Linked DNA regions of Saccharomyces cerevisiae S288C. The protein of the gene in region 3 interacts with the protein of the main gene of each other region in a pairwise test. Each region holds a gene or a part of one and is shown on either strand. Other genes may lie near its edges.

The links. The genes of interacting proteins can lie anywhere in the genome.
Region 1: the proteins of RHO1 (region 3) and ROM2 interact in a two-hybrid assay, tested with the Saccharomyces cerevisiae proteins (3 studies listed by BioGRID, with this or other methods).
Region 2: the proteins of RHO1 (region 3) and BEM4 interact in a two-hybrid assay, tested with the Saccharomyces cerevisiae proteins (5 studies listed by BioGRID, with this or other methods).

Annotation. Positions count from the first base shown.
Region 1 is NC_001144.5:860,734-867,344, forward strand, and holds ROM2 (Rho family guanine nucleotide exchange factor ROM2), read left to right. Parts: upstream 1-1,980; coding exon 1,981-6,051; downstream 6,052-6,611. Other genes in the region: Hsp70 family ATPase SSQ1, read left to right, coding at 1-792; ARC18 (Arc18p), read right to left, coding at 985-1,521. UniProt on the Saccharomyces cerevisiae protein: Stimulates the exchange of RHO1 GDP-bound form into GTP-bound form.
Region 2 is NC_001148.4:243,759-247,833, forward strand, and holds BEM4 (Bem4p), read right to left. Parts: upstream 2,463-4,075; coding exon 561-2,462; downstream 1-560. Other genes in the region: YPL162C (uncharacterized protein), read right to left, coding at 1-269; leucine--tRNA ligase CDC60, read left to right, coding at 3,232-4,075. UniProt on the Saccharomyces cerevisiae protein: Probably acts as a GEF (guanine nucleotide exchange factor) for the Rho family of small GTP-binding proteins (G proteins) that stimulates the dissociation of GDP to enable subsequent binding of GTP.
Region 3 is NC_001148.4:873,387-876,557, reverse strand, and holds RHO1 (Rho family GTPase RHO1), read right to left. Parts: upstream 1,191-3,171; coding exon 561-1,190; downstream 1-560. Other genes in the region: mitochondrial 37S ribosomal protein uS14m MRP2, read left to right, coding at 1-276; MMS1 (Mms1p), read right to left, coding at 1,632-3,171. UniProt on the Saccharomyces cerevisiae protein: Acts as a central regulator in the cell wall integrity signaling pathway, which is regulated by the cell cycle and in response to various types of cell wall stress.

The DNA.
Region 1 (6,611 bases), on a different chromosome or scaffold from region 3:
AAGTCTCCAAATTCTAGTGTTAACCCAGATGAAACAGTTGCTTTAGGAGCAGCTATTCAAGGTGGTATTCTATCCGGTGAAATAAAGAATGTCTTACTTTTGGATGTGACACCATTGACATTAGGGATTGAAACATTTGGAGGAGCGTTCTCACCCTTGATACCTAGAAATACGACAGTTCCAGTAAAAAAAACAGAGATATTTAGTACTGGTGTTGATGGGCAAGCGGGTGTTGATATCAAAGTTTTTCAGGGTGAAAGAGGGTTAGTGCGTAACAACAAGTTGATTGGTGATTTGAAACTTACAGGAATCACCCCTTTGCCTAAAGGCATTCCCCAAATATATGTTACTTTTGATATCGATGCGGATGGTATCATCAACGTATCTGCCGCTGAGAAAAGTAGTGGGAAACAACAATCCATTACTGTAATACCAAATTCTGGGTTAAGCGAAGAGGAAATTGCAAAACTTATTGAAGAAGCAAATGCAAATAGGGCACAAGATAACTTGATCAGGCAAAGGTTAGAGCTTATCTCTAAGGCTGACATTATGATAAGTGATACTGAGAATTTATTTAAAAGATATGAAAAACTGATTTCTAGCGAAAAAGAGTATTCTAATATCGTAGAGGACATCAAAGCTCTGAGACAAGCTATAAAGAATTTTAAGGCTAACGAAAATGACATGTCAATTGATGTAAACGGAATAAAAAAAGCTACGGATGCGCTACAGGGTAGGGCATTAAAATTATTCCAAAGCGCAACAAAAAACCAGCAGAATCAAGGTAAATAAGTGAACAAAACACAAATAAGACTTGTATATTAACGTGTATATCGTTCATTAAAGCATATTTTGACGTATTTATACTTTATACATTTATATATTTCTTTCCCGTTTCAAATTTTCGGTTCAAATAAAGTTGCATGTGGATTATTATGTTCCCATAAATTCTAGTTTTTATTATTTTCCTTGCACCGTATACCTTTATAGAGATTTGTTCATGAATCTTCTTCTTGTGAACGCCAACCAAAACTTTGAGGGATATTCCTTAGAATCTGTAGAGCTATAGACTCTTTCTAATAGTCTCATTGCCAATTCTTGACGGAATTGCTGAATATAAGTCTTCAACAAGTCCATCGAATTATGATCTTGTACTGGAACTTGGTAAACATTATTCAGAGGGAAACCCGGTGTACCTGGTAAAGTAAAGTTGTCCAAGGCCACATTGGTTAACACTTTGACGGCTTCGTTAAATGACGTTGTTATTTTCAAATGGGCTAGGCAATCATTGATAAAGAGAATTCCGTAGATGAGCACTCTGTCGGCGGGTGATTTAATTTCAAAATTCTTGAAGAAGGAATTGGCACGAAATAGGTCCAAGCACTCGTCGATAATATCGTAATCGGAATTGCTGGGGTATGCAGGACCCCTGAACTTAGTGTTCAAGGGCAGAAGCGCAAAGTTCCCTACCATGCGGTCAGTGTTAGGATCTACAGGGAAAGTCGAGTGATACGCAGGCATTTATTAATATACTGGGAGTGGAGAGACTGATAATACCAATAATCTTCCTTTATTGATGTTTGTTACTGCGCACCAAGTGTTTAATTTATTGTTATTCATTGTTATACTAAACCAAACCGCAACGGAAAGGATAGGGGTTCGTGGTGGATGATCCGCGTAACGGCCGAGTCTGTGAAACTGAGAGAGAATGATAGTGAAAACAATGGTATGGAAGTCCGAGGTCCTAAGGCTTGAAGAAAGTTTTTAAAGGGCATTATGACCAGTGAGTACTGACGACCTAATTTAATAACAGTATTGAGCCGATTAGGTTTTCCTGGATTTTTTTTTTGCTGTTTTATAGCTATTTTTTTATTTGTTGTTTGTGGTCATTAATATATTCATTCGCTCTGTTAGTGTAATCGATTACAGTGCTCTATTACTGCTGACTTAATTGGACAATTCATCTCTTTTCCTGCGGTTATGAGCGAAACCAACGTTGACAGCTTAGGGGACAGAAATGACATATACTCCCAAATATTTGGTGTAGAAAGGAGGCCAGATTCCTTCGCTACTTTTGATAGTGACTCGCACGGAGACATAAGTTCTCAGCTGCTGCCTAATAGAATCGAAAATATCCAGAATCTAAATGTTCTGCTTTCTGAAGACATTGCTAATGACATCATTATTGCCAAGCAGAGGAGACGTTCTGGAGTTGAAGCCGCCATCGATGATTCTGATATACCAAATAACGAAATGAAGGGGAAAAGCTCAAATTACATTTTATCGCAGCAGACTAATATTAAGGAAGTTCCAGATACACAAAGTTTGTCTAGTGCTGATAATACACCTGTGAGCAGTCCAAAGAAGGCAAGAGATGCCACATCTTCCCATCCCATTGTTCATGCTAAATCGATGTCCCATATATATTCAACGAGTAATAGTGCTAGTAGACAAGCCAAGCACTATAATGACCACCCTTTGCCTCCAATGTCTCCAAGAAATGAAGTTTACCAGAAGAATAAAAGTACTACAGCTTTTGTGCCTAAGAGGAAACCTTCGCTCCCGCAACTAGCACTTGCTGGTCTTAAGAAGCAGAGCAGTTTTTCCACCGGCAGTGCATCAACCACTCCTACACAGGCTAGAAAATCGCCTTTGCAAGGGTTTGGTTTCTTTTCGAGACCAAGTTCCAAAGACTTGCACGAACAGCACCAACATCACCAGCATATTCAGCATAATAATATTAACAATCATAATAATAATAATACTAATAATAATGGCGCACATTATCAAGTGGGTAGTAGTAACAGTAATTACCCTCAACATTCACATTCTATATCATCTAGATCGATGTCGTTGAACTCATCTACTCTAAAAAATATTGCATCATCTTTTCAATCGAAGACTTCTAACAGCAGGAAAGCTACGCAAAAATATGATATAACTTCCAACCCATTCTCAGATCCTCATCATCATCATCATCATCATCACTCTTCAAACAGTCACAGTAGCCTAAATAATGTCCACGGGTCTGGAAACTCCTCAAGTGTTATGGGAAGCTCGTCTAATATTGGGTTGGGTCTTAAAACGAGAGTTTCTTCCACCTCATTAGCTTTAAAAAGATACACTTCGGTTTCAGGAACTTCTCTATCTTCTCCACGTAGAAGTAGTATGACACCTTTGTCGGCATCTAGACCTGTTATGAGCGCTTCATCAAAAAAACCTCAGGTATATCCAGCTTTGTTGTCAAGAGTCGCCACAAAATTTAAAAGTTCGATACAACTCGGGGAACATAAGAAGGATGGATTAGTTTACCGTGACGCATTTACAGGGCAGCAGGCAGTCGATGTCATCTGTGCTATCATTAGAACTTCTGATAGAAACTTAGCCTTGTTATTTGGTAGATCACTAGATGCACAAAAGCTGTTCCATGATGTGGTATACGAGCACAGGTTAAGAGATTCACCACATGAAGTTTACGAATTTACAGATAACTCAAGATTTACAGGAACAGGTTCCACAAACGCCCATGATCCACTGATGCTACTCCCAAACTCATCATCTTTTAATTCCGGGAACCACTCTTATCCGAATTCCGGAATGGTTCCATCAAGTTCAACTTCATCTTTGAATAGTGATCAGGCAACTTTGACAGGGTCGAGGCTACATATGAGTAGTTCATTGTCCCAGCAAAAGAACCCTGCAGCCATTCATAACGTCAATGGTGTGTTTACATTACTGGCGGAATGCTATTCCCCTACGTGCACAAGAGACGCTTTGTGTTACTCTATTTCGTGTCCAAGACGTCTTGAGCAACAAGCAAGGTTAAATCTGAAACCAAATGGCGGCCTGAAACGTAATATATCAATGGCATTGGATGATGATGACGAAGAAAAGCCATCTTGGACAAGTTCCGTATCTAAAGAGGATTGGGAAAACTTACCAAAAAAGGAAATAAAAAGACAAGAGGCTATTTATGAAGTTTATATCACGGAGAAGAACTTTGTAAAATCATTAGAAATTACAAGAGACACATTCATGAAGACTTTGGCTGAAACAAATATTATTTCAGCAGATATTAGAAAAAATTTCATCAAGCATGTTTTTGCACATATAAACGATATCTATTCAGTGAATAGACGTTTTTTGAAGGCTTTAACTGATAGGCAAAGAAGTTCACCAGTTGTGAGAGGAATTGGGGACATTGTTTTAAGATTCATTCCATTTTTTGAACCATTTGTTTCATATGTCGCTTCAAGACCATATGCGAAGTACTTGATTGAAACCCAAAGATCAGTCAATCCCTATTTTGCTAGATTTGATGACGATATGATGAGCTCCTCCTTACGTCATGGTATTGATTCGTTTTTATCTCAAGGTGTTTCAAGACCAGGTCGATATATGCTATTGGTCAAAGAAATCATGAAATCTACTGACCCCGAGAAGGACAAAAGTGATTATGAAGATTTAAGCAAAGCCATGGATGCATTAAGGGATTTTATGAAAAGGATTGATCAAGCAAGTGGTGCTGCACAAGATAGACATGATGTAAAATTGTTGAAACAAAAGATTCTTTTCAAAAACGAATACGTTAATTTAGGATTAAATGACGAAAGGAGAAAAATTAAACATGAAGGTATACTATCACGGAAGGAGTTGTCAAAATCGGACGGAACAGTTGTTGGTGACATACAATTTTATCTTCTAGATAATATGCTCTTATTTTTAAAGGCCAAAGCAGTTAATAAATGGCACCAGCATAAGGTATTCCAAAGGCCCATTCCATTGCCATTGTTATTTGCATGTCCAGGTGAAGATATGCCTGCGTTGAGGAAATATATTGGAGACCACCCAGATTGTTCAGGAACTGTAATTCAACCAGAATACAACACGAGTAATCCTAAAAACGCAATAACTTTCTTATACTACGGTGCCAAGCAGAGATATCAAGTTACATTATATGCTGCGCAATACGCTGGATTGCAAACGCTTTTGGAAAAAATAAAGCAAGGACAAGCAGCTATTATAAGCAAAACGGAGATGTTCAATGTAACGAAAATGAGCGATAGGTTCTTCGATTACACCAACAAAATTAACAGTGTTACTTCCTGTGATGGGGGTAGAAAACTTCTGATTGCAACGAACTCTGGATTGTATATGAGCAACATTAAAAGACAGCAGAATAAAGATCATAGACATAAAAGCTCTGCTTTTTTTTCAACTCCAATCCAACTAGTACAAAGAAATAATATCACTCAAATTGCTGTATTAGAAGAATTCAAATCAATCATACTTTTAATTGATAAAAAATTATACAGTTGTCCGCTGTCATTAATCGAAGCAGAAGGTAATGGGACATCTTTCTTCAAAAAGCATCACAAGGAACTGATCAATCATGTGAGTTTCTTCGCAGAAGGAGATTGCAATGGTAAGAGATTAATCGTGACTGCACACAGTTCATCGCATTCAATTAAGTACTTCGAGCATGAACATCCATTATTGGCCGAAAAAAATGGTAGTGGTAGCGGTAACAAAAAAAGTCTCAAGAAAAAAATCACCGAGGTTATTTTTGATTCTGAACCTGTCTCTATTTCATTTCTCAAGGCCAACCTATGCATTGGCTGTAAAAAGGGTTTTCAGATCGTTAGCATTTCACAGAATGCTCATGAATCCTTGTTAGATCCGGCCGATACATCATTAGAGTTTGCACTAAGGGATACTTTGAAACCAATGGCAATCTATCGTGTGGGAAATATGTTTTTGCTGTGTTACACAGAATTTGCCTTCTTTGTCAATAATCAGGGTTGGAGAAAGAAAGAATCGCATATTATTCATTGGGAGGGAGAGCCCCAAAAATTTGCAATTTGGTACCCGTACATCTTGGCATTCGACAGCAACTTCATTGAGATCAGAAAGATTGAAACTGGCGAATTAATTCGTTGCGTCCTTGCTGATAAGATTCGACTTCTACAAACAAGTACTCAAGAAATCCTGTACTGCTACGAGGATTATCGCGGGTATGATACAGTTGCGTCGTTAGATTTCTGGGGTTAAGATAGCAACGTATATAGACTTTCCTTATTTTCTTTAGAATAAAAAGCATAACTAAAGTTGTAAAAGGAGCAGAATTATGAATAATAAACATTGATGACAATAGTGGAAAACGACATAAATAATAATTTTATAATATAATAATGATAATTCACCGTCAGAGGGATTTGTATGCAAATGATTGATGACGCGAGAAAAAAAAACGCGAAATTTTTCTTCCCAAAGCTTCGAAGTTTTTATTCCGTCCACAAAGTGAAAAATTTTCAGAAAATTTTCCAGACTGTGAATAAACAAAAGGTTGGCTTACGCATTTGGCTTGTCTTTTTTTTTTTTCACAGGTTCTTAGTAAATAATTGTATAAAATATTTATCTGGAGTCTTCTGTTTGTTGTTTAGCCTTGTTTGAAGTTTTATTTAACTTATTACCCCAGTTAGGTACTGTGTATTTTCCGCATATCTGGTGTCTTTTTATTTGGTCATTGATTGGTTTTTGACAGCTCTTCACTCGCTTCAAGCTTACTTCTAGTTTATTTATTCGGCTTTTTTCCGTTTGTTTACGAAACA
Region 2 (4,075 bases), 630 kb from region 3:
TCATCATCATTGCCTTTTGCAGTGATTGCGAAGAGTGACCTTCGTCTTTTCTTCAGTATGCTGATGCCTAGATTCAAAAAATGGATTCCAAGAGAGCCGATGATTTGTTTTCCAATGTCATAACTCCACACAATCATTTTTCTCCTTGGATGCTCATAGTTTCTTTTCACCAATAACACAATCACGGCTGTCATACCCATCAATGTCTGGACAAAAAGAGACACGGGCCCCAACAACTGGCAAGTGTCTTTCCCATTAGAAACATACATATTCTTTTCGATTAATTGGCAGTTCTGCTGAACTTGTGTGACTGTTGGGCCTCCTGCTAATATGTATTAGAACTTTTTCTGCTTAGTACATTCAAGTACTTTTGTGCAGATGTTCGCATCTGCAATAAACTTTTAATCTCCCTTCCACTCTCATCGTCTACAAACCCATACACCATTTGTCAAGCACATGCTTAATCCAACAATATTCAAGATTTAATATTTATATATATATATATATATATACATGCAGAGGGAACGTTTTCTCCCCTCGTAGGTAAGGCGATTACGTGTCTAAAAGAACGATTTTGCAAGCGCTTCTAAATTTTGTTCCTCTGGCGTTAAGCATTTCGTATTTTTCACAATGTTTAGTATTATGCCCGCTATAAATTTCCCATTGTTGAAACAACTCTCGCTACCCTTATCTTTATTTTCTTTAAATGAAAGTATGGTCTCTAATATCAGGGTTAACTTTTGAATGTAATCCTTGAATAGTATATTTTCAATCGGATTCACGTCAGCTGTTACACTTGAATCTTTTAAATAAATTCCAACCGTTTTTGTGATATGAAATAAATCTGAGATGCTTAGTTGTTCTGCTTGACCTAAATTTTGGAATTTGAAGATCGAATCCCATAGGGATGTAATAGCTTCTTTAGGAAGGGCTTTCTTGGACACAAGCAGCTTATCCATCGCAATACAGGACGTTAACGTTCCATGCTCTGCTATAAAAGAGATAATTGTTGGATCACTGCTTATTGAATTGTGTATTTTTGAACTTGGAAGCACCGTTAAAGTTTTGTTTAATAAATTTGTTAATAACGATCTCAGGTTGTTATAATATTTAGTTTGCTCGTGACATCTTCTCATAATCTGAAATAGGGTGAAGAGGTCCTTGATATCTAGCCACATGGTATTTTCCAGATTTAACAGCTTCCTCAGTAAATCTAGGAATCCTTGATATTGTAGTGGGTCTTGTAGCAAGCTACCAACTTGAATCAATTCACTAAGAGATATGAGCTTCAGTAGCGCGACAGCGTCACTTTTGGATGCAACTGAGTTACATAATATCATCAAAGCTGCGGCTAGGGCATAACTACTTGCGGAACTCTTAATAGTTTCGATACATAATGATTGCTCTCGTTTGTTAGAGTTTGTTAGGTTGGCGGAGATGTTGCCTGCGCACGATATGAGTCTTCTCATTACAATTAGCTTATTATTGAAGGTTTTTGATTCTAAGCAAACTAAGGACAATATTAAATTTTTTTGCATGCTTAGCACAAGCTGCTCCTCATTGGTAAAGTTTATAGTTTCATCCTTGGCTACAATAGTTTCAAGACATGTTGACAGATTTAATAGCAATTCACAATTAACGTCCTCCTCATCATCTTCTTCCTCTTTTTCGATGTACTCTTGATTTCCTTGGCCAGCGAACTTCTGAGTTTCAGTATTTGAATATGCTTCGACTGCTCCATCTTCCATTGCCTGCAATTCTTTATTTTGCACATTTGAAGAGATTTTTTTGATGTACTGGCTTAAGAAAAAGAGATCGCTTATTTGAACATTTGAGTAATTGACTTTTAAAATATCGTTCAATAAATCTGAACCTAAAACAACTTTTTCGGGAGATGACAAATAGCTATATTGTGTGGTTTTCAACAAAACAAATAATGGACCTCTAATGAAGGGAGCCAAATTTTCTGTATACTTGAGATTTCCAATGCAAAAATTCCTTAGTAGCACAACTGACCGCATCTGTAATTTATCCACTAAGCTATCCTCACTCTTGTCAGAAGAAATTTCGTCCAGCTGAAGAACCCCGCCTATATAATAATTAAGAAGCTTTTTACCTCCAGAATCCAAGAGAATTTCCCGATTATCATCATTATCAATTATTGCGTTAGCGATACATCTAATCACTTCAGAACTGATCTCATAAAACGCTATTTTATCATTAATTGAAATGCTCGTATCATGAAAGCAGATATCAAGCGCTTGTTCTAATACTCTTACTAGGTTCAGTAGCAGCCCAGTTTTACCAACAATATCTCTATTACTTGGTTCTCTCAACGAAACAGCCAATTGGTCCATTACCGCTAGGTAGCTTCCTAAGTAGACATCGTTCATCGGAACATCCTTTATTGAAGACGCATTGAGGATCGGTTGCAGACCAAATAAAATTTCTTCGTAATCCATTTAGTAGGACAGTTATTTTCACTTGAAACCACAATCTTTTGGGGCTGAAATATAGATGAGGTGATTTGTTATTCGCGGTTAGTTTTAGTTCGCGAGTGACCTGCTTACGTTGTCTTCAGCCATTTTACGTTGCTTGGCTTGCCGCCGGCGGGTAATATGATCTTATTTTGACATGGTTAAAGAAAAATACTTTTGACTAAGTACCTTTATCACAAGAAAGTTTAGGAAGGGATTCACTATTTGAAGATCAGACAAATGAGTATACGATATTGGCTCAATATTTTAGCCGAGTTTGCTTAAACTTAGTGGCAGAACTTTAGTCATGGGAAGACAAGAACGATCTTACGAGGCCCTTAGGACCTCGGCGGCTAACAGTAAAACTGGTAACTGACGGACAAGGAATATCAAGGTCATATTTTGAAAAGGTCTTTTTGGGTGACTACTTGGGTAAGAAATAATTAGACGAAGTTTCTTTCTGATGTGTATTGAACTAGTGCTCGTGCTTACATACACATCGCCCATTATTGCCTATAGTTATCCTCACTTTATACGAGGTCTGGCCGTTAACGGTTCTTTTACATTGAAAAACTAAATCAGTCACCCACGCAAATAATGAAAAAAAAAAAAAAATCAAAAGCGAAAAGAAACCTAACGCATATTCTATTCAAACGTTGAATGATTGTATTATTATAAATCATAATCACGTAAAGCCACCGAAATTTTTTTCCAGAGTGAAGAATATAAAAAAAATATCTTTAACCAGTCTATAATGTCTTCTGGTTTGGTCTTAGAAAACACGGCACGTAGAGATGCGTTAATCGCCATCGAAAAGAAGTACCAAAAAATATGGGCTGAAGAGCACCAATTTGAAATCGATGCGCCATCAATCGAAGATGAGCCCATTACAATGGACTCTGAAGAGTTACATCGCACGTATCCTAAATTCATGTCGTCTATGGCCTATCCTTATATGAACGGTGTTATGCACGCCGGCCATTGTTTTACTCTCTCCAAAGTCGAATTTTCTATTGGTTTTGAAAGGATGAACGGTAAAAGAGCTTTGTTTCCATTGGGTTTTCACTGTACAGGTATGCCAATCTTAGCATGTGCCGATAAACTAAAGAGGGAAGCCGAACTTTTTGGCAAGAACTTCGACAATGTACCAGCAGAAGAAGAAGAAATTAAAGAAGAAACGCCGGCTGAGAAAGACCACGAGGATGTTACCAAATTCAAAGCTAAAAAATCTAAAGCCGCAGCCAAGAAGGGCCGTGGTAAGTACCAATTCGAAATCATGTTACAGCTTGGTATCCCTAGAGAAGAAATCATTAAGTTCGCCGACGCCAAGTACTGGTTGACCTATTTCCCACCTTTGTGTGAAAGTGATTGTACTTCACTTGGGGCTCGTATCGATTGGAGACGTTCTTTTGTCACCACTGATGCCAATCCTTATTACGATGCCTTTATTAGATGGCAAATGAACAAGTTAAAGGCTGCTGGTAAAATCAAATTCGGTGAACGTTATACTATTTACTCTGAAAAAGATGGTCAAGCTTGTATGGATCACGATAGACAATCCGGTGAAGGTGTTACACCACAAGAATATATTGGTGTGA
Region 3 (3,171 bases):
AACTTCAAAAGACAACAATTTAAAGAGAATGAAATCCTTGTTAAATCTTTGAAATTCATCGCTAGAAATATGAACCTTCCAACAAAACTGAGGTTGGAGGCTCAGTTAAAACTAAATGCATTGCCAAACTACATGAGATCTACGCAGATCAAAAATAGGTGCGTGGACTCTGGACATGCAAGATTTGTTCTAAGTGATTTTAGGTTGTGTAGGTATCAATTTAGAGAAAACGCTCTGAAGGGTAATTTGCCAGGTGTTAAGAAGGGTATTTGGTAAAAAATTTTATCGCGAAAGTATATATATATATATATATAGGATACGCACTTGTAAATAAATACATGATAATTTTTATTCTTCTTTAATAGATGATAATACTTACTGAGCAATACACTTATATGTAGAGAAGAATAAGATTATACACATACTGGGAGAAAAACAAGTAGCTATAGTTAGAGCTAAAATAACAAAAAAAGGCATACGTACATACAATGAGAAAAGGAATGGGATTGAAAAAGGGCAGTATCTGCCACTAAGTTAACGACTGAGAGATCGAGACACTCCTATAACAAGACACACTTCTTCTTCTTCTTTTCAGTAGTGTTCTTCTTAGCTTTACCATTCGTTTTAGATTTACCCATCAATGAAGCTCTAGTGGCGGCCTCAAACACTTCTCTGACACCATAACCAGTCTTGGCCGAACATTCGTAGTATCCGGTTGCGCCAATCTGGTCTGCTACAGATTGTCCCTCCTGTGATGTAACGGGTTGTTGACCTTCTTGTCTTAATTGTTCAATGGTTTGTGGGTCGTTTCTCAAATCCACTTTACAACCAACAAGAATAATTGGCACACCTTGACAGAAATGTAATACTTCGGCAATCCATTTTTCTTGTACATTCTCTAAAGAATCTGGAAGATCGATAGAGAAACAAATTAATACGACATTGGAGTCTGGGTATGACAATGGTCTTAGTCTATCATAATCTTCTTGACCAGCGGTATCCCATAGCGCTAGCTCTACACGACGCCCATCAACTTCAACATCTGCTACATAGTTTTCAAAGACAGTTGGTACGTAGACTTCTGGAAATTGGCCCTTGGAAAAGACGATTAATAAACATGTCTTACCACAGGCACCATCACCAACGATTACCAGCTTTCTTCTGATACTGTTACCAACTTGTTGTGACATCTTTCTAGTATAATTTTTAAAGTTCTATGATTTTCTATTAGTGCAACAATAAACCTCTAACAGCGATTCTTTTGTTTTATTAATTTTGTTCCTTTTTTGAGTTTTGTAACTTTAAGTTTGGGTTGTTCCAAAAATGTTTTTGCAATACTCAGAGGAATGATCGATGGTCGAAACGATATTAAAGACGAATTCCTGCTGGTAAAATAAATATATACGATTAGGATAAAGAAGTATTTGTATCAACTACTAAAACATGTAGTACCCAATACAAATCAAACAAAAATTGTATAATCTGTTTATTTTTTTTTCTGAGGCGAAGCAAATTGGAAACAACAAGAATTCTTGTATCTTTTTTTAGCCCCTTGTCACGCTGCACGACGCGTAGCACATTGATCGAGAATCACGATTTTATCAGCGACAATGTTATTGGAAATGAGGGAATTATACTGTGTTCTTGCAGTTATCGCTAAGGTTCCATAACCCAACCTCACAGATGAGGTCAGATTTAACTATTGACCTTCTTGAAACCAAATAGCCAGAATTCCATCTTGGTTCGTATTCGTCCTGGCAAGGCAACCTGTCCTTGCCGAATTTGTGAATTGTTTGATCTGCCATTAGCACATATAAAGTTTGTACTGCGGGATCGTAACTAATATCTTGAATAGGCTTGTCCAATGCTACCGCATTATAGGGAGATAGTCTTTTAGTTCTCATTGCAGTGCTTCCTAATATAGAACTTATATCCTCAAAATAACGGGATGATACATGATCCTCATATACTATAGTGGCGGCTCGGCGTAGTGAAGGTTTTGGTGTAGAAGAGTGGTTTCGCCAAAAGAGTAGTAAATTTCTACGCTGCCTTAGGGCAACCTCTGCTTCGTCATTCTCCGACCGTATGCCTTCGCTGTAACGATTTACGTGCCTCTCACCATGTAAAACATCATACAAAGCCATAGTGCCAAATTGAAATCCTTCAGGAAAGTCAACCTCGAATATGTCGTCGACTCTCCCATTCCCATATTCATCTGGTAGGCTGCCTGTTTCGTTATTAAGCCCAACTTTGATGGTGGGTAAAGAGTAAAAAATTAATCTTGAATCTAAATCGTTCCTATTTCCACAGTAAGCGGCAACAACAAAGCAGCATTCATTTAATGGTATTATCTTTTGAACTTTTGAATCAGGATACATTTCCAAGGGATACACCCTTCTCGATTCGTCAGATGATGAAGAGAAATCCTTAATCAAGTAGAGCTTTTCGCCCATATTTGTGGTAGCAATGATATTATCGCCTACTACAGTAAACGTCTTAACTGTACTCCAACTCTTAAATGTAAACCGGGTTTCCAAAGTGAGCCGCAAAGTCGTATTATTTCTCTCCTCCTGGTCAATGCAATGTTTTGTGACTTTCAACTTGTTAAAGGACATTTCGTTATCGGTGCCCATAACTTTATAATCCAGAAAGAATATTTCACCTCTGGGAGTAATGACCAAATGATTGAGGAGTCTTGAATTGTCAAGTTTATACGAATCTATTATTTGATTGGAAATTTTGTTTTTTGCAGCAGTTAATAAAACTAGTTTTAATGAGCTAGTAAAAGAGATCAATAATACAGTTTTCTTTTCTAAAGGATTGTCCTCTGTTGCTATTGGTAATTCCTTTATTTCTAGGATTTCTTCAGAATCATCCTTAAGAAGTTGAGAATCTAAACCAACTGCCTTACCATCTGATAGTCTAATACACTCCCATTCCCTCAAGTCCTGATTCAATACCAGCATTCGATTTATTTTGTCTAGATATAAAAATTTCTTATTTTTGCTTCTTGTAGATTTTAATAAGAAATTTCCATTATTTGATGTTAGGTATGATAGTTCGAGGATTCTTAAGCCATCAGAGTAGAGTATGAATAATTGGTTGTTTTCTATGTCCGGACAGACTTCAAGAATTGAATTGTTATTACCTAGGTGCGGTAATTTTAGCTTG